Linked DNA regions of Lytechinus pictus. The protein of the gene in region 3 purifies or fractionates together with the protein of the main gene of each other region. This does not show direct contact. Links are inferred from orthologs where the notes say so. Each region holds a gene or a part of one and is shown on either strand. Other genes may lie near its edges.

Region 1 (7,795 bases), on a different chromosome or scaffold from region 3:
GTACCATGGAAACATTGCTCAAAAGCCAATCAATAAATCAAGGATTCCATGAAATCTATCCTGGAGGTGCTGATTATTTTAATTATACAAAGAGGTAACAAAAAGAGTTTACTTTTACAGTTTAAAATCAAAGTCTTACCATTTCTGATAGGCTAGAGCAAATTCATAGTTCAAGAGATGCCCCGAGACAGATGTCATGGTCATTTCACATTGTTGATTCAGTAGACTGTAGTCATATTCATATATCTTGTTGAACTTTGAGAAACCCTCTCTCTAAAAAAAGAATTAAAAAATGATTAATCCAAGAACATTGTGAAAGAGAAATTAAAAATGTGTGCTTTTATTGTATGTATGTATTGACAGATTTATGAAAAATACCATGAAAATTGATTTCATCTGAATAGAAATATCCACAAAAGATGAAAAATTCAATTCATGAAGTTAATTTCATCAATTAACTCTGGCTGGTCATTAAAAGAATTTTCCTCATAAGCAGATTTTTAAATGTCGAAACAATTTTTTTTTTCACTTCTCAATGTTTTCTGTTTAGCCATCTGATGGTAACTATATGTTCCATGGTAACAATGCTCAAAAGACAATCAGTGAATTAAGGATTCCATGAAATTTACCCTTAATGATGAAGTTACCATTATGGTATAATTACCATTAGAATAACATTTACATGTATGCAACTAATTTAGGCCAAATACCTTTGATAAAGTACATTTTGCTATTGGCAATTCATAAATATTTGGCTTAGATTGAAATCATTGAAACTTATCAGGAAATAAAAAAATCTAATCCATTTGATTCATCAATTGTTGTAAAAGTAAAAAAAAAAAAAGAAGATTTTGTAAACTTACCCTATTGTATCTGCCCCTAGACATGACATCAGCAATTGACTTGGCAGCATCATTCTTCTCAGCTACATTCAGAACCTTGGTTGCATGTCCCCGTGCCATAGTGAGGTAGGTGCACAAAGATATCCTCAAGCAATTCGTCCAAATTAACATTGGATGGGAAATCCTTAAATGTCCAGGTATAACCCAAATAATTCTGCCAACTACAATGTACCCCAGCTCACGCGGACTGTTCGGTGGTGGAATTTATCATTTCATTTGTCTTCTATGCATTCCAATGCAATTTGTAGAAGTAAAATACTGGAAATGTATTGCCTTCACAGATCACTGTACCACGAATCCTGACAAATTAAAAGCGATACAGGTTCCATAACAGACTAAGTTGCTTGCGGATGCACAAGATTTGTTGACGGAAGGACTTTGATCTTGCCATATAACTGAGGACAAGTTCTAAGAAGATGCAGAGGGGCAAATAAGTCTCCTATACTTTATGCCCAACATCAAGGTAAATCAAGGTAAATACTTTGGAGAAATAGAAATCCATTGCATATTCCATACAAACATGTCCAGACATCAGAATTCCTGCACATATCGTAAGAGGAAAAGGACATTGGGTAAAAGGAACACCATGGACATTCTTCAGAACTTCCAGGTCAAGAAGTGTCATCTATATGGAGAGCTTCATGTATTCTCAATAACCAACTATGAAACCAAGTTAATAGTTGATAAGTTTAAAAAAAAAAAAAATGTTGGTAATAAATTCAATACAAATGGCAATCAATTCCTACGAAGGACACGTTATTCTTTTCCCTATCTTTTCTGGATTTTCAACCAGTGGTAAGTATACTTGCTCATGTAGATCTAATACCCGAGCATGCTAAAAGATAAGAAAATAATTATGCATGAATGAGATAAGTTGTATTCTGAAAATATTCTCATCTTTTATCTTTTCTTATCTCCCAAGGTATTTACAAATAGCTAGAGTGTTATCACCATACATCTCATCATGGCCGTGCTCTTTCTTGATCTTTCCCGACATCAAAAATAGTAACTAGCAGCTCATCAACCTTGTTACAGGCCCACTGTGAATGAGAGGGCCGAACAAAAAGGATATGGGATACCTAGATCATTGGGGTGTGGAAAAGTCCTACTATAACAATATTACATCAACGGCCACTGGCACTGAAGGTCTAGTAGGAACAACAAGAGTAACGCTAAGGCCAGCACATAATATGCCCGCCTGCAACGCGGAAAATTGAGTTATTGGTCAAGCAAGAAAAGTGGAAGGTGGCGACCTCACCTTTGACCTTCTGACCTCAAACTCAATAGAATTCCTGGGATCTATGCTAGCTAGTATCATACACATTCAAATTATATGAGCCTAGGTTAAGTTAAACTAAAGTTATCACATTTACAAGGACTTCAGAAGGGTAAGATGAAAGTATGTCACTGTGATCTTGACCTTTTGACCTCAAAATCAATAGGCTTCCTTGGATCCATGACCATGCTAGCATCATACACACCAAATTATATGAGCCTAACTTAAGTTATTGCACTTACAAGGAAAAGTTAATGGACGGACTTGATTTCGCCGCCTGATGTAGAACCGGGGTCCTAAAGCAACGCACTCGATTTATCATGCAAAAAATTAGTATTTCCTGTGGGGGTGCTTCAATTTCTAAAATATGTTCACATTATTATAGGATCTGAGGATATATGATTATGAAATAAAGCGAATATAACTCCGAAATTCCAAACAGTTGTTGGTTTTCTCTGCATTTAACTTGTTAGAGATTTATTGCAGCCTCTGGGCACTGGCTCTGTTGAAAAAAAATGAATACACCTGACCTGTAGTCTGTACTTGTAGTTGTAGGAATTGTTCGTCACTCTCTGACTCTGTCTCTGGCTCTGCACTGCAGCACTGCAGTCACAGTTCCACAGTGACCACACACAGACTCATTTGCCATTGAAAACTGCATGCGCGATGAGTGTGGCGTTGCTTTAGGACACCCTACCATAGTCCATACGTATTCTCGAGTGAATTAAGGGTTTGCACAGCAGACTACACTAGCCCCGGGGAAGTCGCCACTTTGTGTACGGGCTGCCGAGCCGGAGTACGGCCCACGCCTAGCTCGCCCGGCTACGGACGTTCGACGCGTAGGTACCGGTACACCGGCGCCGGCCGCCGCAGATAGTAACGCGCGATGCGATGGTCGGATTCAATTCAACTTAGCTGCCTACGAGACGTCTTGACGTGACTTAGGTAGACTAATCCTCTTTAAATACCATTGTAATAACATCTTGAATAACTGATAAATTGATGGCAAAAGTGTTAAAACCCAATCAAACATTACCGGTATCTCCGTATGAGACCGAGCGAGAGCTGCAGTGTAGTCTTCGGTACCGTAGTCTTCACCATTTGATTAAGCCGCCATTTACTATTTCATGATTACTCAAAATAATACCTCTAATCTGAAATTATTGATGTTTTTGATAAATAAAGTAGATTTAAAAAATAGATAATAATACAAAAACTGTATTATATATATTGAACACTTTTGATTAACTTATTTTACATATTAATCATTATTAGTGTAAATTATAATTTACACTACCGGTAATATACTGAAGGTTGTTTTGTGCCAATTTGCAACACCCTGTGGCTATATATTTTTAAAGATTTAAAAATATATATAATTATTGCTTATTATTATCATCTTCATTATTATTATTATTATTGTTGTTGTTCTTTCTATTATTATAATTATTATGTTTGTTATTATTACTAATTGTGGTGGGGGTGGCGGCCGAGATGCGATTATTTTTTCCGTATAGGCCTACATGGAAACGCTAGGGGTGCTATGGTACATGAATTATTCATAAGTTAAGCTAAAAAACTGAAGTGCGCAGGAGCTATAGTTCTGTAACTTCATCAATTTGTACATGAACGAATGTAATATTTTACTATGATACCTAAATTTTTATAGAAATTATGAGTTTAACCAAAAGTGAAGTCAGATATAGTACAATGGAATAGCCCAAATAAAAAAAAGGACTAAAATAATGGAATATAACCCAAATAAAAAAGGCCTAAAATAATGATTTAAATAATGGAATAACCTAAATAAAAAAGTACCAAAATGATTTAAATAATGGAATAACCCAACTAAAATGGAATAGCCCAGATAACAAAAACAAATAGTAAAGAAAATAGATCAACCCAAATAAAATGGAATGATTTATATAATGAAAAACCCCAACTAAAATGGAATAGCCCAGATAACAAAAATAAATAATAAAAAGAAAATTGAATAACCCAAATAAAATGGAATAACCAAAATAAGAAAGGACTAGAATAATGGAATAACCCAAATAAAAAAGGACTAAAATAATGATTTAAATAATGGAATAACCCAACTAAAATGGAATAGCCCAGAAAACAAAAATAAATAGTAAAAAGAAAATGGAATAACCCAAATAAAATGGAATAACCCAAGTAAAAACGACGTAAATAATGATTAAATAATGGAATAACCCAACTAAAATGGAATAGCCCAGATAACAAAAATGAATAGTAAAAAGACAAGTACAAATCAATAGTAAGAAGAAATTGGTATAACCCAAGTAAATGAAATAACCCAAATAAAAAAGGACTAAAATAATGATTTAAATAATGGAATAACCCAACTAAAATGGAATAGCCCTGAAAACAAAAAAAAATAGTAAAAAGAAAATGGAATAACCCAAATAAAATGGAATAACCCAAGTAAAAACGACGTAAATAATGATTTAAAATAATGGAATAACCCAACTAAAATGGAATAGCCCCGATAACAAAAATAAATAGTAAAAGGAAAATGGAATAACCCAAATAAAATGGAATAACCCAAATAAAAGGGACTAAAATAATGATCTAAATAATGGAAAAACCCAACTAAAAAGGAATAGCCCGTATAACAAAAATAAAAAGTAAAAGAAATGAAATGACCCAAGTAAAATGGAATAACCAAAATAAACAAGTGGAATGCCTCTGGCCGTCTCACCTGCATCACGCGATTCAATATAGCAGCAGTGCTGATTTTGAAAACTACTATAACTCGCACAAGATGTTCAGTGATACTTGGTTACTCTTATTTCCACGTTTTATGAACTAGACCAATACACTTATAGAGATATATATGATGGCAATTCAACAAATACCCCCAACGTGGCCAAAGTTATTTGACCTTACATGACCTTTGACCTTGATCATGTGACCTGAAACTCGCACAGGATGTTCAGTGATACTTGATTACTATTATGTCCATGGGCGGAAATCCCAGGGGGGACAGGGGGGACGTGTCCCCCCTACTCAAAATATTAGGGGGGACACAATATCAAATGTCCCCCCTACTATTTTTTGGTCTTTTATCATGGTAAGAAATACATTATTCTAAATAAAAATAAAACATGTATTTTGGGAAGAGATGACCTTACTTTGGCGATGATAACCTTTTTTTTGCTTGTCAAATTGTCCCGCCCCTTGTCCCCATAGGCGGATCTAGGGGGCCGAGGGGCCCGCCCCCCCCCCCCCCCCCTCTTGGCGGAGCAAAAAAAAAGGGAAAGAAAGAAGGAAAAAAGGAGGGAAAAGAGAGGAGAAAAAGAAAAGAAGGACTACGAGTGCATAACATAAGATGAGGGGAAGACTTGGAAAACAAAAATAATCTTTCGTGCCACTATATAAAATTTTCGCTCGCGCTTCGCGCTCGCATTGCCTGTTAGGTGATTTACATATCTTGTTCAATATGGAGTTCGAATATCAAGTTTGGAAGTCAACATACAAAACATATTTCACCTCGGAAATCGAACTTTCATTAATTTGTGTAATTTACAAATTGGTTTTTAAAAAGTGCTCTGTAAAAATGTCAGTTTTATGGTCAGAATGTTAACATTTGCTGCTTGCGCTGCGCGCTCGCAAATTTTGATTTATCAGGTACCTATTATTTTCGTGTATTCCATAAAGTTGTCAAAATATCCCTTTTCAGGTCTGATTGTCAAGACGTATCAGCTAGCGCGCTGTACGCTCGCATTTTGATTGGCGAGTTATATAAATGTTTCAATATTGATTATACAACAAACTGCTTAAAATCCCCCTTTCATGACAGTTTATCAAAAATTTTAGCTCGCGATTTGCGCTCGCATTAATGGTTAAAAATATATTAACTGATGCATCCTATTCATAATAAAAAAAAGTGAAATGTCCAGTTTTTATGCCATGATATCATCAGATTTCGCGCCTTCATTAGGCATTAATAAATATGATATTAATTTAATAATTAAATTGTCCCTTTTCTTTCATCTCGCGCTTAGCAAGAGGAATAGGAAGATAGTCATCATTTTCATATGATGACATGTCGTAAGGATGTCCCGGTCCTATGTCAAAACTCAAAGTAATAATAATATCAGCTCTTTTTTTAGTGCGATCCATATCTACCTTACAATTTTTCTACAAAGTGCTTCAAATATAAAGCTGAAATTGACTCTTTTTCAGATCGGAATATCAAAGTTTCATGATTTTCATGATTAAAGTTGTATTTAGAATGCCTAGATTCTAGGTCTAAATATGAAACACGCTCGCGCAAGTTTATTCAGATACTCAACTTGTTCTCTAATTTAAATCATTATCCAGTTTCAGATCACAATATCAATTTTTTTCTGCTCGCGCTTTGTACTCGCATTATTAATGTAGAAAGACTCCATATTACTCATACTTTTGATGATTTACAAAACATGAACAGAGTGGCCCATTTTTAGGTCTAAATCTCGAAGAAAATTCTGCTCGCGCTTCGCACTCGCATCAATCGTTAAATTATATAGTTATCCTGTTCACGATTACAAAAACTGATTAAAATTTTCCATTCTTTCTTTAGAAAGTTCAAAAAAATTTCAGCTCGCGTTTCGCGCTCGCATTTTTTTATTGTTGGAATATGTAACGCCTTCATGGCTAAGTGCAAGCAGTCCTTCACAGGTACCTTTTCAACAGGTACCAGTTCAAAACGTATATAAAAATTTTCTGCTCGCGCTTTGCACTCGCATTATTAATACTCATCCTTTTCAGGATTTACAAAACTATTATAGGACTAAATGTCAAACTTTTCCGCTTGCGCTTCGTGCTCGCATTAATTGTTTACTTATATACCTATTCTGCTTGAATTACAAAAAGTGCTTAGAATTTCCATTCTTTAGGTGAAAATGTCAAAAAAAATTCAGCTTGCGCTTCGCGCTCGCATTATTTGATTGACAAATGCTACTTTAACAGGTATCTTTTCCATCAGTTCATTCTGCTCGCGCGTTGCGTTCGTAGTAATTATTTAGTTGCATACACATCTTTTTCAGGATAACAAACATTGCCCAGAATCAGTTCAAATTTTAGGAAAAAATACATAAAATTTCCAAAAAAAATAGCTCGCGCTTCGCGCTCGCATCATATAAATAAGGATTATGATATTATATATTAATTTATAAGAATAAAGCTAAGAAGTGACTCATGAGGACTACCCCTTCAAAGAAACAAACAAAAATCATCTTCGTGCTGCCGATCGGGGAAAATATGGCTGAAACAAATTCCCCCCCCCCCCTCTATTGGCGCAGGCTGGATCCGCCCCTATGTCCCCCCTACCTTTTGGGAGAGATTTCCGCCCCTGATTATGTCCAAGTTTTATGAACTAGACCAACACACTTTCAAATTTATGGCTGTAATTCAACAAATACCCCAATTTGGCCAAAGTTCATTGACCCTAAATGACCTTTGACCTTGATCATGTGACCTGAAACTTGCACAGGATGTTCAGTAATACTTGATTACTATTATGTTCAAGTTTCATGAATCATATCCATAAACTTTCAAAGTTATGATGGTAATTCAACAGATACCCCCAATTCGGCCAAAGTTCATT
Region 2 (7,906 bases), on a different chromosome or scaffold from region 3:
TGTTAAAATTCAGAAACAGACTGCCAAATGACTATTTGCAAATTGGTGCCTTTTTTCAACTTTTTTTACTCACTCCTTTATAAAATGCATATGAGAAACATCAAATAAGTATAACACAGCAGAATTTTACATGTAGCTTTGGAAATGTGAGTCATTCATTACTCATTATTATCATATTATTTTCATCATCATCATCAGCATTATTATGGTAAAACAGCAATAATTTTCATTTTTTCTTGGAATGTACTGTACAGCCCATATTTCATATGGGTTGTCCAAGACATTATACTTATGATAGGTTGAGAAATTGATGACTACCATACTTTTCGGAATATAAACCGCAGCCGTGTATTAACCGCACCCCCAAAATCGAGAGACTAAAAAAATAACAAATTTAAAAAATCGGCAAACCAAATTTGATATTACTAAAAAAATAACAAATTTTAAAAATCGGCAAACCAAATTTGATATTATTTTCAAAATAATATCAAATTTGGTTTGCCGATTTTTTAAATTTTTTATTTTTTTATTTTGGGTTAGCCAATTTCAATATAAATCTATGAAAGATCAAAAGATATCTTAATAATTTTTGTATTTTAAAAAATGGTTACTCCATTCTTTAACTTTATTTTTCAAAGAATGTAAATTATTTCTTTGTAGAATAAAGAAAAAAAGACCATGAAATAGCAGTATTGTATATCAAACTTATAGATTAAAAGGGAAAAAGAACAAAAAATGTTGAGAGAAACTGAGGGAAAAAATGAAGAATAGAGGACATTATTTATTGCCTGCTTTCTAACCGATTACGATTACAAGTTTTCATTACAAAACAACCAGGGTTTTTTTAAGGAAAAGGAGACCATAAAATGGCATTTTTTAATATCAAAATTATGGTATAAAAAGGGATATTTTTTAAAATATTGAGAGAAAGAATGAAGGACATTATTTATTGCCTTTTTAAATAACCGATTACGATTACGATCGATTATGATTACATGCCTACTGAAGAGCATTTTCCATGCATTTTTAGCTGAAAAAAAAGTTTTTATCACAAAACAATCAGGTTTTTCTTAGGAAAACATTATCAAATTGATAGTAATTAAATAAATAATATAAAACAACCTTTACAAAGAAGATTTTTCAAAGAAAACTTCGCAAAATATACTCTCCAATCTTAGTAACCAACAAATAATTATACATTAAATATTGTATATAATTCTTGGTTTCTTGCTAACTCTAACTACCGAAGAAACATTTTACTTATGAAATTTTGTTGTTTCTTTGGATAAACCGCACCCAATTTTTCAAGATTAAAAGCGGGAAAAAAGGTGTTGTTTATACACCGGAAAATATGGTAGACTCTGAGATTTTGAGTCCCATTTACCAGTGTTGTCACTACAGGGATGTATTTTCACACAAAGAAAATGTCCTGATATTGATAATGTCTAAAACTTAACTCGTTTTTGTTCCCCTAACTACTTGTGGAAAAACCTCGTGTGACTATTCCTACCATCATTACAATGTGCTTGGTGACATCAATGTTAGCATAAACTTACACTTGCATGCTACCGAGTTGGCTGATTTCTTTCTTCAAATCTTCTAGAACAGGATGAGCCACTCCATCCTGTTGCACAGAACTAGCCATCTTTCTTCACATTATCTGAAACAAGAGGGACAAAGTTTAAAATAATAATTCTTTTTTATCTTAAATACCTGATGATGGAAACCATACATGTACCTGTCAGCGTAGGAAATGCATGAGGGCGATGTGAGATTTTGCCCTCATGACATCCCAAGTTGCCCCTAAAATCCCCCAAATTGAATGCTTTGGGGCACCCAAGGGTTCATTACATGCCGCCACGCACAGAAAAATCAAGCCATAGAAGTCGTGTGTTGTGGACCCATGAAGTGAGATCCCAGCACGCGCGACCCACTAGTTAGAAATCCACTGCCAAACGCGGTTCGTGGTGCGAGGTTAGTATACTAATACTTCTTCTTCACTTCTTCAAGCTACACTGCCTCCTTCAATCCTGAAGATTCTTGCAGTATTGTAGTACCGGGGACCGGCAGGTGCAATACACCGGGTGAACACCCTACTCTTTGACGAATAGTGTATTGGTTTTAACGTGCATAGGTTGTGACTCTCCTATACACGGGACCAACATTTGCGTCCTTTCCGATGGACGGAGTGTTTTCCAACTGCATTCACACCCGCACTGAACACAGCGGTGAGGCACGTTAACACACAACGCTAGCATCAGTTTTTTTTGTTAGACGTCTTCCGGCATGCTGCGGGACTCGAACCCACGCACGTTGAGATCTACGATCTTTTCCGGAACAGGCGCTCTAACCGACTGAGCTACACTGCCTCCCTAACCTCGCAATACGTGTGAGTGGCTTTGGGGCAACCATCCTCAAAGATATCCATCAAAGATATACCACAAACATTCAAGATGGACTTTCAAGAAGTTTAGAACCGATTTTCTACATACAGCAGAGTAATGAGAAATGCTTTCACAGCATAACTACTAATACTTGTTGCACAAAAATGTAACTCTTAAAATGAAAGAAAATGCTCCTTTAGGCTTTAACTTAAGTTTAAATTAGCAATCCCCACAATGTTGGGAAAGAAATTATATTATTGTATTTCCTACCCTGATAACTGTGATCCCCAACTCTTCAATAAGCCTAGTTTATAACGTTAGACATGTTAGATAGAGGTCTAGGACTAGGAGTAGGAAAAGGAAAAAGAATATCAAGATGTCTGTATTTTGACTTTTTTCTTTTGTTTTGTCAGTGTTTGTAAAATTGTAGGACTATTAGTAACCAGTTTACTTTTTTCGTTTTTAGAAATGTCCGTGCTGTATGACCTGTAGATCTATTTGTATAAATTGATTCATAACAAGAGCAAGTAGGCATTCACATCATTGACTTGCTGGTCAAATTTGTTGAAAAATATAAGTACAGCTATGCGGCGGCATGTAAATCTAACCTTGACTGAGTGGGCCGTGCCCGTGGGCGCTCTCTCTCTCTCTCTCTCTGTTGTGTTAAACTGGACATGAATTTGACAAGATGGGACTACCAAAAAAGGCACCGCAAAACTAGGATAAGATTATTAGATTTTCCAATCTCCGTGTCACCTATTCTTCTAAATTCTATCTACTTATCTATCATTTTCTCTTTTATCATCAATTCAAAGCGATTTGTAAAACTTCGTATTCTTACACTTTTTCTCTCTGAAAATCCCAAACTTCTTCTTGCATTTTTACCGCTCTTTACGTTGAATCTTGCGACAATACAGTGTCGCCGAATTAAAACGTCCAAAAGTAAAAATTAAAAAAAAATGTAACTCGAGACCGGTCGGGGGCGCGCAGATCCAAGATTTTCCCAAAAGGTTGGGGGCACATTTTCCCTAAGGAAAATTTGACCAATAAAAAGTTTTCTAAAAAAATGAAGACCGATTTGTCCCGCGTATAATTTGACAGCAAAATAAAATAAATAAAAAAATAAATAGGTTTTAATATTCCAATTAAAAAAATGACAAATTCCCAATAAAAATATTCGGATGTGGCTCTAAAAGCGGGGGAGGGGGACGCACTTGTGTATAAAATACATATTTACTATAAAAATTATGACTATAACTCTCAAGGGGGGCACCACAGGGGGCACGCGGGCCGGAAATGCCCCCCCCCCCCCCGCCCCGATCCATCAATGTCTACGAACTTTGGACATTTCTAAAATAAGCTGAAAAAAAGTTATAGTGCACAATTTGGCTTGATAATGAATTCTAAAGGAATTTTTAATAACAATCAATATTCTTTTTAAAGAACCAAATTTTATGTTCCCTGCTAGTCTCAAGAAAAATATGAATTCCAATATCACATTGCAAGAATATAAATTCCTGAAAAATTTCACTAAAAAATGTTTACACTTTTGAGTTAATCTGAAAACGATTTTCAAAACAAAAAATATCCAGCTTCATATAGAAAAGGTTTCATGCGAGACTATAGTTTTCTGGATCATAGTTTTAATTTTTGAGACCTAATGAACCTAAGATCCCCCACCCGCCCTTCTTTTTAGCTAGTTTCAGGGGCCGCGGAATAATAATGATAATAATACACAACATTTTGGCGCCTACTACTGGTGTTTCTAAGTGCATTGTGTTCTGTTTGTGGTTTGTACTTGGGTATAAAAAAAAAATGTGGCAGGGGAAAATGACACAGCTAATACAACTATACTAATAATCAAAAATCAAAACTGGTGTGCACCTCCAATTGACCGACCCACAACTGTGAATCATTTATTAAACAGGTAGGTTTTGAGTAGGGTTTTAAACTGATTCACAGATTTGGCATTAAAAAAATTGGAGCTTATTCCAAAGGGAAGGGGCAATTGAAGAAAAAGCGCGGTCACCATACTTTGTAGAGGTTCGTGGTCCAGGAGTTAACTGCATTGTAGACGATGAACGGAGAGGTCTTGAGGAGGTACTAGAGCGTATAAGGAAATGAGATCTGTAAGATATTTTGGGGATTGGCCATTGAGAGTTTTGTAGGTGAGAAGGAGAACTTTGAATAGAACGCAGGGAACGCAGAAACGGGGGGGGGGGGGGGGGGGGGCTGGATGGCTTCAACCCCCACTTAAAAAAAAAAAACGTGTACAATAACGTAAAAATTACCACACAATTGTATTTTTTGCATCATCAGCCCCCCCCCCCCCCCACTTTGAAAACCGTTCCGCGGCCCCTGAGTTTAAATGGTCGCTGGGGCATGCTTGGGGTATGAGCAAGCTTTATGAAGTTTCCTATTTTTCAAAAGATTAGATGCTTTCATTTAATTGGTATACAATTTTTTATATTTAAGTCGGTTTTACAGATTTCGTAAACGATTTAATTAATTGATGTCTAACTGCTGTTGCCTCATTGACTTTTGTAAATGGGTGTAATTAGATTAATTTTTCAAATTTCATTTCCTGTCAAAATGAATATAAAAATGGAAAAGAAAGTATGGCCTTTGTTTTGCAACTACTTTAAAATAGTGATCAGTCATGCATGAATGATTATGAATATGCAACAATGTATATTTTTAGACTTTGCTGTGATTATTAAAGCATAGCACGCAACACTTCATTGATCATGGTATATTTCCTTTTCCTTTTTTCCTCCGAGAGATGAGATGATATGCTTTCATTTGATCCCATTTGATATACAGTTCTTAATATTCCAGTCGATATTTCAGATTTCATAAACGATATAAAACGAATTGATCCCTGTCTGCTGTTGTCCCATTGACTTTTGTACAGGGGTGTAATCAGATTCATTTTTAATATTTCATTTCCTGTCAAAATTAATAAAACGGGTGAAAAGGATTTGAATTTCATATGAAATGAAAGCATGTCATCTCATCTCTCAGAAAAAATAAGAAATAGGTCATGATCATTGAAGCATTGTGAGTTACGCTTCAATGTTCACAAATAGGTATAAAAATATGCATTATCACACTTTATGAATTATAATCATTAATCAAAAATTTGCAACTCGATGGAAAACAGAGACTATACTTTTCTTTCATATGATATATACATACATTATAGTTTATAAGCGCCAGGTTACAATGTTTGACTTTCATCATAAGCATCCACTCATTTTTCAGTGTTGTTTATGTACAGTGTACAAATGTATTATATTCAGTAAATACAAATGTCTTGTATACACTCTATATTTATGTGGATTAACGTATTCTGACTTTGAAACAGAGGGTCGTGCGTTTGAATCCCAGCCATGGCGTAATTTCCTTTGGCAAGTAATTTATCCACATTGTGCTACACTCAACCGAGGTGATGTAAATGGGTACGTACCTTGCAAAAATTTATTCCTTGAAATGCCATCGCGCTGTAAAAGGCTGCGGGGCTAAAACCAAGGTAATAATATCCTGGCGTACACAGTAAAAAAAAATTGCACAACGCTGTTTACTATATGAAGCTTACAGTAATTGTTTAAACAGTTTAAACAAGTGTTTAAATCTTAAGCAACAAAGTTTAATTTTCAATATCTAATCTTCAATAAATTAAACATGATTGTTTAAACGGTTTATACTTTTTGCTGACGACTCCAATATTTTCTTTTCCCATGATGATATTAACCAACTCGTTAGAATCGTAAATTTTGAACTAACAAATGTTACAGATTGGATCAAGGCCAACAAACTTTCACTTAATCACCAGAAGACAAACTGCATGCTTTTCAGTAATAAAATCAATAAAAATCAATACTCTACCAGACAGTATTTTCTTTGATATCGTTCTTAATAATATTTCCACTACCAGATTCTTGGGTGTCCTTATTGACAACAAATTATCATGGAAGCCTCATATTGATAGTATATAGGTAAAACAATTTCTAGAAACATTGGAATTATTGATAAACTCAAACATGTTCTCCCTTCCCGCACTTAACATTATACTACACCCTTATTCTACCATATATTAATTATGGAATAATTGCCTGGGGATGTGCAATACAAACACAACTAAATAGAATATTACTTCTCCAGAAAAAAGCTCTAAGAATAATTTTTCAAACACACTTTAAATCACATACTGATATCTTATTTTTTGAAAATAACATTCTCAAAGTAAGTGACATATATATTTTCGAACTTAGTCAATTTATGTTCAAATGAAACAAGGACGATCTCCCCGCGATTTTCTCTATGTTCCGTGAAAATGCATCCGTACACTGCTACCCAACAAGGCAACGACAATATTATCACTTTCCTTTAGCAAAGAATTCATTTGTCTTCTCCCCTTCTCCGGGCCTGCCTAATTGGAACTCTCTGCCGCAAGATTTCAAAGAATCCCCTAATGTAAATATTTTTAAATGCAAACTGAAAAAAAAGTTAATTCTGGAATACTCGTTGCAAACAGGTCAAGCTGAATAACTATTTCAATTATACTCGGCTTTTGTGTATTATATGCGCTCATATAGACATGTATATTATTTGTTTTATTTTTTTTCTTCTTAAAATTGCAATTAGTGAAAGTACCTGCTCCTGCTGCCTGCCTTCTTTCTTTCTACTTAGTGTACACTGCACTCCTCTGTCTTTCCTGTCTTCTCCCCCTCATCCCCCCTCTCTAGTATTGTAAAACAATATATTTTCTCACACGATCCATCAGTTGCGTTTATGTAAAGTGCACAAAAATTGTATTTATTTTTAAAGAAAATTTCTGTATATTATTACGACCCAATATTTCTTTATTGTAATTTTGTAATGAAACTAAGTTAGGGGCTTGCCTTTTGTACTAGCTTTGCTTTTTTTGGCAAGACCCTCCGTTTTACTTTTAAACACAAATGTCATCTGAGATAACTTTATTTACTGAATTGTGTTCCTTTAATCTATGATTATGTTATTATATTGTCTTGTAGTATTTTCGACCTTGTTATGTTTATCATATTATGTACAATTGTGAAATGGAAATCAATAAATCAAATCAAATAAATAAAAACGAAACAGGAAGCAGGTTGTCGAAGCAGGTGAAACAGGAATTGTTTACCCCATCCCTTTTCTTTTCCTTCCCTTTCCTATCCCCCCTCTCTCCAGCTCCCATTCTTTCTCTACCCTCTCTCCCTTTGTCTCTCCCACTCTCCCTGACCCCAACTGCATTTGTTTGATGAGGCGCTGTCTAAGGGAAATTCAATTAATATCAATATTAATAAGTCCACAACCCAAGGTTTGCTAAATGTATTCAGTGGTTTAAATTGAAATTCTTGAAAATCATTTGTTTAATCTTCTATATACATGTATCAAGGCCAAATAAGAAAATAGAAAACATCTATTTTCATGCTCAAACAAAACTTCTTTTTAAAAGTAAAAGAAACTAATTGCAGCAAAAACTATTTCAAGAGAAAGCC
Region 3 (7,850 bases):
CCAACACCATCTTTGCGCCAGGTGGGGGAAATGGAAAGGAAGCTAAAATAATAAATTTACAAACAAAAACTTTAGCTCGGTTTCTTGCTCCGCACTAATTAATATTCATCTGTAAATTAGATTATGAGGATAACATGATGCTCAAAATGTTCGGGCAGGTCTGAATTTATTTGCCCTCCTAAAAGATTATTTAGCAGGGGCCACGGAAGCGGGGGGCTGGGGGTGCTTCAGCCCCCCACTTTTTTCCAAAACCATGTACAAAAACGTAAAAATGACCATATGATTGTGATTTTTTGGCTCAGCCCCCCCCCCCCCCCCCCCCACTTTGAAAACCGTTCCGCGGCCCTGTTTATGCATAACGGTTCTTTTCAGAAATTAGCAGGCGCTTCGCGGTCGCATTATTCACTTAGTTAGATAAATGACAAAAAGTGCTTATACTGGAGTAACTGAACCCAATGATCGAAGATCAGCTCGCCATTCGAGCTCTCATTGATCATGTTGTCTTTGTCTCATTGTTCTATTTTTTGTGATGAGGGCTACACGTGCAAGTGAAATTAATTGATTTCTGTTTGTATTCATGGATTATTCATCCATTATATTGTACAAATTTTGTCACGATAATAGGCCTACAATATAATTATTTTCGTTCATTTATCATATTGATGTGTATTTCATTTTGTACATGTATGAGAAATTGTAATTATCTCGATAAGGGTTCAATTGAGATCGAGGGTGAAAAAAGGGTTTCCCATAAGAGTCCTTATCTTTGTCCTTTTTGTGGAGCGTTGTGGTCTAGTGGATTAGTCTTCGGACTTTGAAACACCGGGGTCGTGGGTTCGAATCCTAGCTATGACTGGCCCTGGGAAGCGGGGTGGTGAATTAGTACCCCAAAAGTTTCCTTGGTGGTGCTGCGTGTATTATTTTTCACACTCAGCACCCCCGGGTATTCTTGAAGATTTGTAAACATGGAAAAATGTACCAAAAATGCCCCCTTATTATTTTAGTGAAAACTTTTTTGGGGGGCAAAACCTTTTTTCCACTTTCTTTTCAAATTTACATCACCCCCCCCTCCTGTAAAAAAAATCGTTCCCACGCAGGGCCCTGATGGCTATAATATGGCGTAATTTTCCTTCAACAAGAAATGTATTCACAATGTGCTGTACTCAACCCAGGTGAGGTTAATTGGCAGTTAAGACAATAATCTCAAATAATTGTGAGCACCGGAATCGGTAGACGAGCTTGGCCGGGGTTATAGGACCATAGGCGGCAGAAGGGGGGGGGGCGGGGGTCGTGTCCCCCCTAGATTTGAGGTGGGGGACCCCCCCCCATACAATTTCTGTTGATCCGAAACTTGTCAATAAGCTTGTCAATTTTTTCAAAAATTTCAGGTGGACCCCCTAAATTTGTTTGCTTCCGCCGCCAATGGTTAGGACGAGCGCCTTATTGAGTACGTACTAATTAGTATAGTAAGTACCAATCATGGTCGGCAAGTGGGCCGATATACCGAAAAGGTGACATGGCCTATATTATTGTTGTTTTCGGGTTCAGAAAGAACCAAATTCATTGTACAGTTGTAGGCCTTTATTGTTCACTGACTTTGTTTATAGTGACTTAGATCTAAATTCCTACACATCGATATAGTCCCCCTATATGATAGTCCTTAATCCTTGAATCATAGAAAAGGTAGCCTCAAAGGCCTTCATATTAATTTCTAGCGAACAATATTTATCTTTTTGAAGGTCTTTTTTCTTATCTGTTCGTTTCCTAATTCCCTTTCTCCGTCCTCCCCCCCCCCCCAATATTTCAAATATCATGATTGACCGGTGGCCGACCCTAGCTTGTGTATAGCACCCACTGATCTATATCACATAGAAAAACATAACTAATTTTTATCAGAAATATCTTGTTTTGTTGGAAATTATAGGAATGAAAAAAAATAATAATAGCCTTTACTTTTTTTTGTTCTTTCTCATTGATTATTATGGCTTACTATTACATGTATTATTGTTTTGTCATGTTTTTAGATGTGTGTTTATACAGGTCTCCTTGGTCGAGCAGTTTTTATAATTGAAAGGGGTTCTCTGTTTAATAAAACGACAAATAAAACAAACATTGTCCTCCTATATCCACCTCTTAGGCTGTTCTGTATTTTATACAACTCTCCCCTTTCCCCCCATATTCTTTTCTTCGCCTCTCCGTTTCCCTTCCTCTCTTTCTCTTTAATTTCTCCCCTCTCTCTCTGCCTCTCTCTCCCTCTCTCTATCTCACTTCTTTGTCTCACTTTCGATTTCAATATATTAATTGGAAATATATTTGACCCTCTCCCTGCATGTCCCGCGGCCTTATTTTTATTTCTTCCTCTCTTTCCATTCTTTGCCTTCCGTTCATCATCTCTCCTTTCTCCGATTTCCCCCTTTTTATCGAGGCGGGGGGGGGGGGGGGCGGGGCTATGGGACCCCTTTGGTGCCAATAGTTGGGCAATGACGCCTATGCTCACGGCCCACTTTTTTACTTGACATTTTTTTTTCGGCGCACCCCGACGTGGGCATATTAATATGACCTGTAGCTCAGAAACTTGGCGTCCAGGGCAGCTTAGGTGCTTATATAATATTGCCCCCTCCACATAAATAATTATTATAAGGTAGCTAGCTGCAAGTAAGAGTTAAAAGTCTTTAGATAACTTTTTCTACCTATTTGGCTTTCTTTTCCAGGGCGGTTTTTTTGCATGTGCCCTGAGGGCCGTGCGATTTTTTTTACTGGGGGTGCTGATGTAAATTTGAAAAGAAAGAAAGAAAGAAAGAAAAAAGGATTCAATACAAAATGGAAGTCAAATTGGTCCCGATCGAGAAATTTGAAAACAATACAATAAAAACAAACAAGGGGTTTCACTACACTAAAAATCAAGGTCACTTTGGTTACATTTTTCAATTTTGTTCACATATCAGCTTCCAGAATACCTGGGGAAGCTGCCTATGAAGAATTATACACGCAACACCCCAAAATAATTTTTTGGGTGCTTAATAAGCACGTAAGTACCCCGGCAGGCTGCAGGGCCATGCCTGTGCCCCTATTGCTTGCACTTTGCCCATCCCGGGCCCATCTCGCCCCATCGGTGAAATGAGCGAAAACTTTTGAGGGGGTCGATCTGCAGACATGGCAGAATTTCTGAGAAGCTGGAAGGGGCGAAGCGATCGATGGAAAACACACACACACACTCACACACTTGTCTTTGTGATAATAATTTTGTGACAGATTTGGACAAAACAACTTTCCTCCCCGCGCTCTCTCTCTCTCTCTATCAAAATATATGTCTTTTTGTAAACGAAAACCAAGATTTATATTTTGGGCAATTTTATACATTGTATGATTTCCGGATTCTAGACTTCTAATAGCTAGGAGTACACCGGGGGGGGGGGGGGGGGGGCACTCACTAATGCATAGTGGGTATGTGCCGCGGAGGGGACCCCCATTTTTAAACTCAAATTTCCGTTCCAGGGCATAGCATTTTCATCTTATTAAGAAAAAGAACTATAAGAAAGCCGCTCCGAAAAGCATAGCATTTTCTTCTTATCGAGAGAAAAGAAAAGAAGAAAGAAATCCGCTACAAAGCTTCGCATATTTTTCGTTACGCCGTTCCGGTCGCATTGATCCGCCACAATGAGCTGCCATTTTGGTGAAAAGCGGCCGCTGAGCGCTGTCCGACCATCGCCTCTGCGCGAACCCGTTCCAATTAAGGACCCCCGTTTTCACAAGCATTTGTAGTTCCGAAGCCCGCTCCGAGGACCCTCCTTTTTACAATAAGTCCGCTCCAAGGTCCCCGGTTTTTGTCTCGCCCGCGGCACACACCTACCAATTTTTTGGTCGAGCGCCCCCCCCCCCCGGGGAGTACACCAGATATTTCAACCCTAGCTAGGCTACACGTACGTAATAGGCCTATGCCCCCCCATATTTCGTTATTCAAATTTACTTCATCAGGGGCCGCGGAACGGTTTTCAAAGTGGGGGGGGGGGGGGCTGACCATGCAAAAAATCACAATCGTATGGTCATTTTTACGTTTTTGTACACGGTTTTGGATTTAAAAAATGGGGGAGGGCGGGCTGAAGCCCATGCACCCCCCCCCCCCCCCCCGCGGCCCCTGTTCATGAATATCCATCTTAAATGTACGGTATGTCATTAGTAAACGCATACAAAGAACTGGCTTCTACCTCCATGGTTTTACCCAACGCTGGAGAAAAAACAAAATAAAAACAAACAAACAAAATCCCGAGGTGATTCCCCGGGTGATTTCTCATGACTTCCTTGTCTTGCTCAACCGGCCGTGCATAAAGCATGCAGTGGGTGATTCGCGTTCGTAGCAGGCCGATTTCGCTCGCTTCATGTATTCCCGATATACAACAAGCCCTCTGATTGGTCAATACCAAGATTCTGGCGCGCCGTCTCCAAATTGTACTTGTGAACGGGTACGGTTCTGTGAATGTAAATTGCAACCACACTGTTTCCAATCGGAAAAAGAAGAGTTCCTTCTCTGTAAATAATTATTAATATTTGGATCGAGACTTCTCTTCGAATATGTTCAACAACCAAGGAGGTAATTACACCGTCGGCCTTAATTCATAATTATCGTGAAATATATCTTAATTCTTATCTCTCCTCTCGTGATCGAGTCTGTCAATTGAAATTTGAATGTGCAGTCGTGTGTGTGAGTGTGTGTGCTCTCACTTAGACTTAGTTAGAGAGCTTAGACTTTAGACTTAAGAGTTTTAACGTTAGACTGAGACTGAGTAAAAATGATTGGCATTATCGTGAAATTGGGAACCAGTTCCTAATTTCCACAGGACACTTTTTCACGACAAGACATGACCCACCTATCTTTTCGAGCTTGCTCACTGCTTCACCGCAGCTCAGCTGGCGCGCTGATTCTAAATAAATCGAATCCTTCAAAGAGCTTAACGTTAGTGACTTAGTCTACTCTTACTATTTTAGTTAGATCAGAAAGATTGATTTCGTCGCTGTCTTTTCTCTACTCGCCAAAATGGGAACCAGCGTGGAAAACTCCCCCATAGAGTTGTACACGCTGGTTCCCATTTTAGCGAGTAGAGTAAACAAGTTTACTCGCTGAAATGGGAACCAGCGTGTACAACTCTATGGGGAGTTTTCCATAGAGTTGTAGGCGCTGGTTCCCATTTTAGCGAGTAGAGTAAACTAGCTTACTCTACTCGCCAAAATGGGAACCAGCGTGGAAAATTCTCCATAGAGTTGTACACGCTGGTTCCCATTTCAGCGAGTAGATAAAGACAGATTACTAGTGATATTTATTTCGTTAGTGATGATTCTCTGACGAAATAAATCTGACTAATAAACTGTCTTTATCTACTCGTGAAAATGGGAACCAGCATGTATAATTCAGGAGAATTTTCTTAGATGGTTCCCATTTTGAAGAGTAGATAATATATAAAGAGAGATTGCCAATGAGATTTATTTCGTCAGTGATGATTCTGACGAAATAAATCTGACTAATAAACTGTCTTTATCTACTCGTGAAAATGGAAACCAGCATGTATAATTCAGGAGAATTTTCTTAGATGGTTCCCATTTTAAAGTGTAGATTAAACTAGTTTACTCTACTTGCTGAAATGGGAACCAGTGCGTACAACGCTATGGGGAATTTTCCATAGAGTTGTACACGCTAGTTCCCATTTCAGCGAGTAGAGTAAACTAGTTTAATCTACTTGCCAAAATGGGAACCAGCGTGAAAAATTCTCCATAGAGTTGTACACGCTGGTTCCCATTTCAGCGAGTAGATAAATACAGATTACTAGTAAACTGTCTTTATCTACTCGTGAAAATGGGAACCAGCTATGCTGGTTCCCATTTTGCTGGTTCCCATTTTCACGAGTAGATATAGAGTTTATTAAAGTGATTCATCCCCATATATATCTTGTTTGTGATTTTTAGTAAATCAATTTTGTAATCATTTTTTTTCAACATTGTGAAAGTGGCAGAGTGGTCTTGAAGAGCAGGGAAATGCGGGGTAGATGGATATAATTACAAAAATTATAATTCAGCGGAATCATCGATGTCATCTGAAAACTTGTCCACCCATGGGTAACTGAGCCCGATAAATATCGCATGAGGAAAGAGGTTACCAGTTGTGTGAGGAGCTTCGCATCGTCAACAAAGCCTCTCGCATCAATTCTTTTCAAAATCGCTGAAGCGAAGTTTCTTTACATGTCGTGGTAAAAGGAGGTACAAATTCGATTTGGTGACCAGTTCCCAAAAGCACGGAATGGCCAAATGATTTACTAACGTATGCCCCCGAGATTTCTACTTTCCTTCTAAAAGATCAAGTTAGCCCTAAGTCATGTACATGGGATACAACTTCATTTCCGACATTTCTACGATATTGATTTCATTTTTAAACAATTCAAGACAAAAAACAAGAAAAATGTAATAAAAGACAGAAAACTTGCCACCGTGTTTACGTCGCCTTCTTGATTTCATTGTCTTTCGCTTGGCGACAGTACACAAATCGCGCGGTTTGCTACACAAAGCCAGGAGGCTTCTAGAGATTAAAATCATTTACTAACGTATGCTTAAAAAAATGAAAAGTCGGGGGAGACTCGCCCGATGTTTACGCCGCCATCTTGTTTCCTATATTGTTCTTCCCCAACTTTACAGACACGCGCGTCAGTAAAAATAGATTACGTCAAGTGACCTCAATTCCCCACAGTTCACTATCTATTTTCCCCTGTAAACTGGGACGATCCCAATTTTCTGACCACGCCTCTACTGGCTACCTCACCCTCTTTGATTAGAGTCTGCTGCTTGAATCCCCCTCTTGATAGGGGAAACAGCACGCCAGAATAGTGAAAAGGGAGAGAGTTCTTAAGTCTTATTGAATCTGGGAAGAAGCTCAACTGGGCGTTGTTGCGTGTGCCTGTAATCCAAGCTACAAATTAGTTACAAATTGATGCATAGGTTCGAGGTTTGAGCCCTGGTCACGTCTTTCGGATGGTGACGTTAAGGTCGGTCCCAGACGCAAATAATCATATCTGATAGATACATGTCTGACAAAACTCAAATGCACACACACACACACGCTCTGGTAGACAAGTGTTCTGGCAAAGGGAGCAAAGCTCTTCTGAGAATGACCTCTATGCAACGATGTGGATAAGCTTTAGATTGAAGAATAATTATTACCTGTTGACTGTTGTGAACATGAATGTTTCAGCTCTTGGCTGCTCATCATAAATCATGTAAATTCTGAATGCACAAAAATTGTAAACCTCTACTCCAATAATAGCTGTAGTACCTAGTAATAATCCTCCTTGTCACATGACACTAGTAGTTGTATGTTACCCCAGCTAAGCTACATTTTATCTACAAAATCCAGGTGAACAGCTTTTTGAGGAATTCCTGTCTACCCATTTTACTCACCTAGGTTGAATGCGGCACATTGTGGATCAATTTCTTGCTGAAGAAATTACCTCATTGCTGGGATTCAAACCCATGACCCTCTGTCTCAAAGTGTGAAGACTAATCCAACAAAATGTTCCACAATTTGTAATTATTTTGTCTTTTACTTTTTTTGTCAGGTTTTGATGGATATGGTAATGACCATGGTGGAATGGGTGGAGGTGGATTTAATTCCCCAGGAGGATTCAACACACCAGGAGGATTTAACTCACCAGGAGTTGGATCATCACAGACTAAGGTATAAATAATTATATAATATGACTGGCTTTGAGGGGAATATCAAATATATGGCCCACAATATAATAATATTGACTTGAGTCTATAGTTGAGGGCAATGTGGTTCTTTTAATTGCAATATATTTGATGTTCCCTGA

The links. Proteins that work in one complex are often made in the same cells at the same time.
Region 1: the proteins of replication protein A 32 kDa subunit-B-like (region 3) and DNA topoisomerase 3-alpha-like purify together in Homo sapiens (affinity purification with mass spectrometry; 4 studies listed by BioGRID and IntAct, with this or other methods). This does not show direct contact. The link is inferred for Lytechinus pictus from reciprocal best matches to the Homo sapiens genes RPA2 and TOP3A.
Region 2: the proteins of replication protein A 32 kDa subunit-B-like (region 3) and serine/threonine-protein kinase ATR-like purify together in Homo sapiens (affinity purification with western blotting; 3 studies listed by BioGRID, with this or other methods). This does not show direct contact. The link is inferred for Lytechinus pictus from reciprocal best matches to the Homo sapiens genes RPA2 and ATR.

Annotation. Positions count from the first base shown.
Region 1 is NC_087254.1:17,256,544-17,264,338, reverse strand, and holds the start of DNA topoisomerase 3-alpha-like, read right to left. Parts: upstream 3,312-7,795; 5' UTR 3,215-3,311; intron 1,443-3,214; 5' UTR 1,014-1,442; coding exon 864-1,013; intron 274-863; coding exon 140-273; intron 1-139. UniProt on the Homo sapiens protein: Releases the supercoiling and torsional tension of DNA introduced during the DNA replication and transcription by transiently cleaving and rejoining one strand of the DNA duplex.
Region 2 is NW_026974140.1:6,100,310-6,108,215, reverse strand, and holds the start of serine/threonine-protein kinase ATR-like, read right to left. Parts: upstream 3,312-7,906; 5' UTR 3,226-3,311; intron 1,661-3,225; 5' UTR 1,646-1,660; coding exon 1,557-1,645; intron 1-1,556. UniProt on the Homo sapiens protein: Serine/threonine protein kinase which activates checkpoint signaling upon genotoxic stresses such as ionizing radiation (IR), ultraviolet light (UV), or DNA replication stalling, thereby acting as a DNA damage sensor.
Region 3 is NC_087261.1:4,470,916-4,478,765, forward strand, and holds the start of replication protein A 32 kDa subunit-B-like, read left to right. Parts: upstream 1-4,390; 5' UTR 4,391-4,569; coding exon 4,570-4,588; intron 4,589-7,595; coding exon 7,596-7,714; intron 7,715-7,850. UniProt on the Homo sapiens protein: As part of the heterotrimeric replication protein A complex (RPA/RP-A), binds and stabilizes single-stranded DNA intermediates that form during DNA replication or upon DNA stress.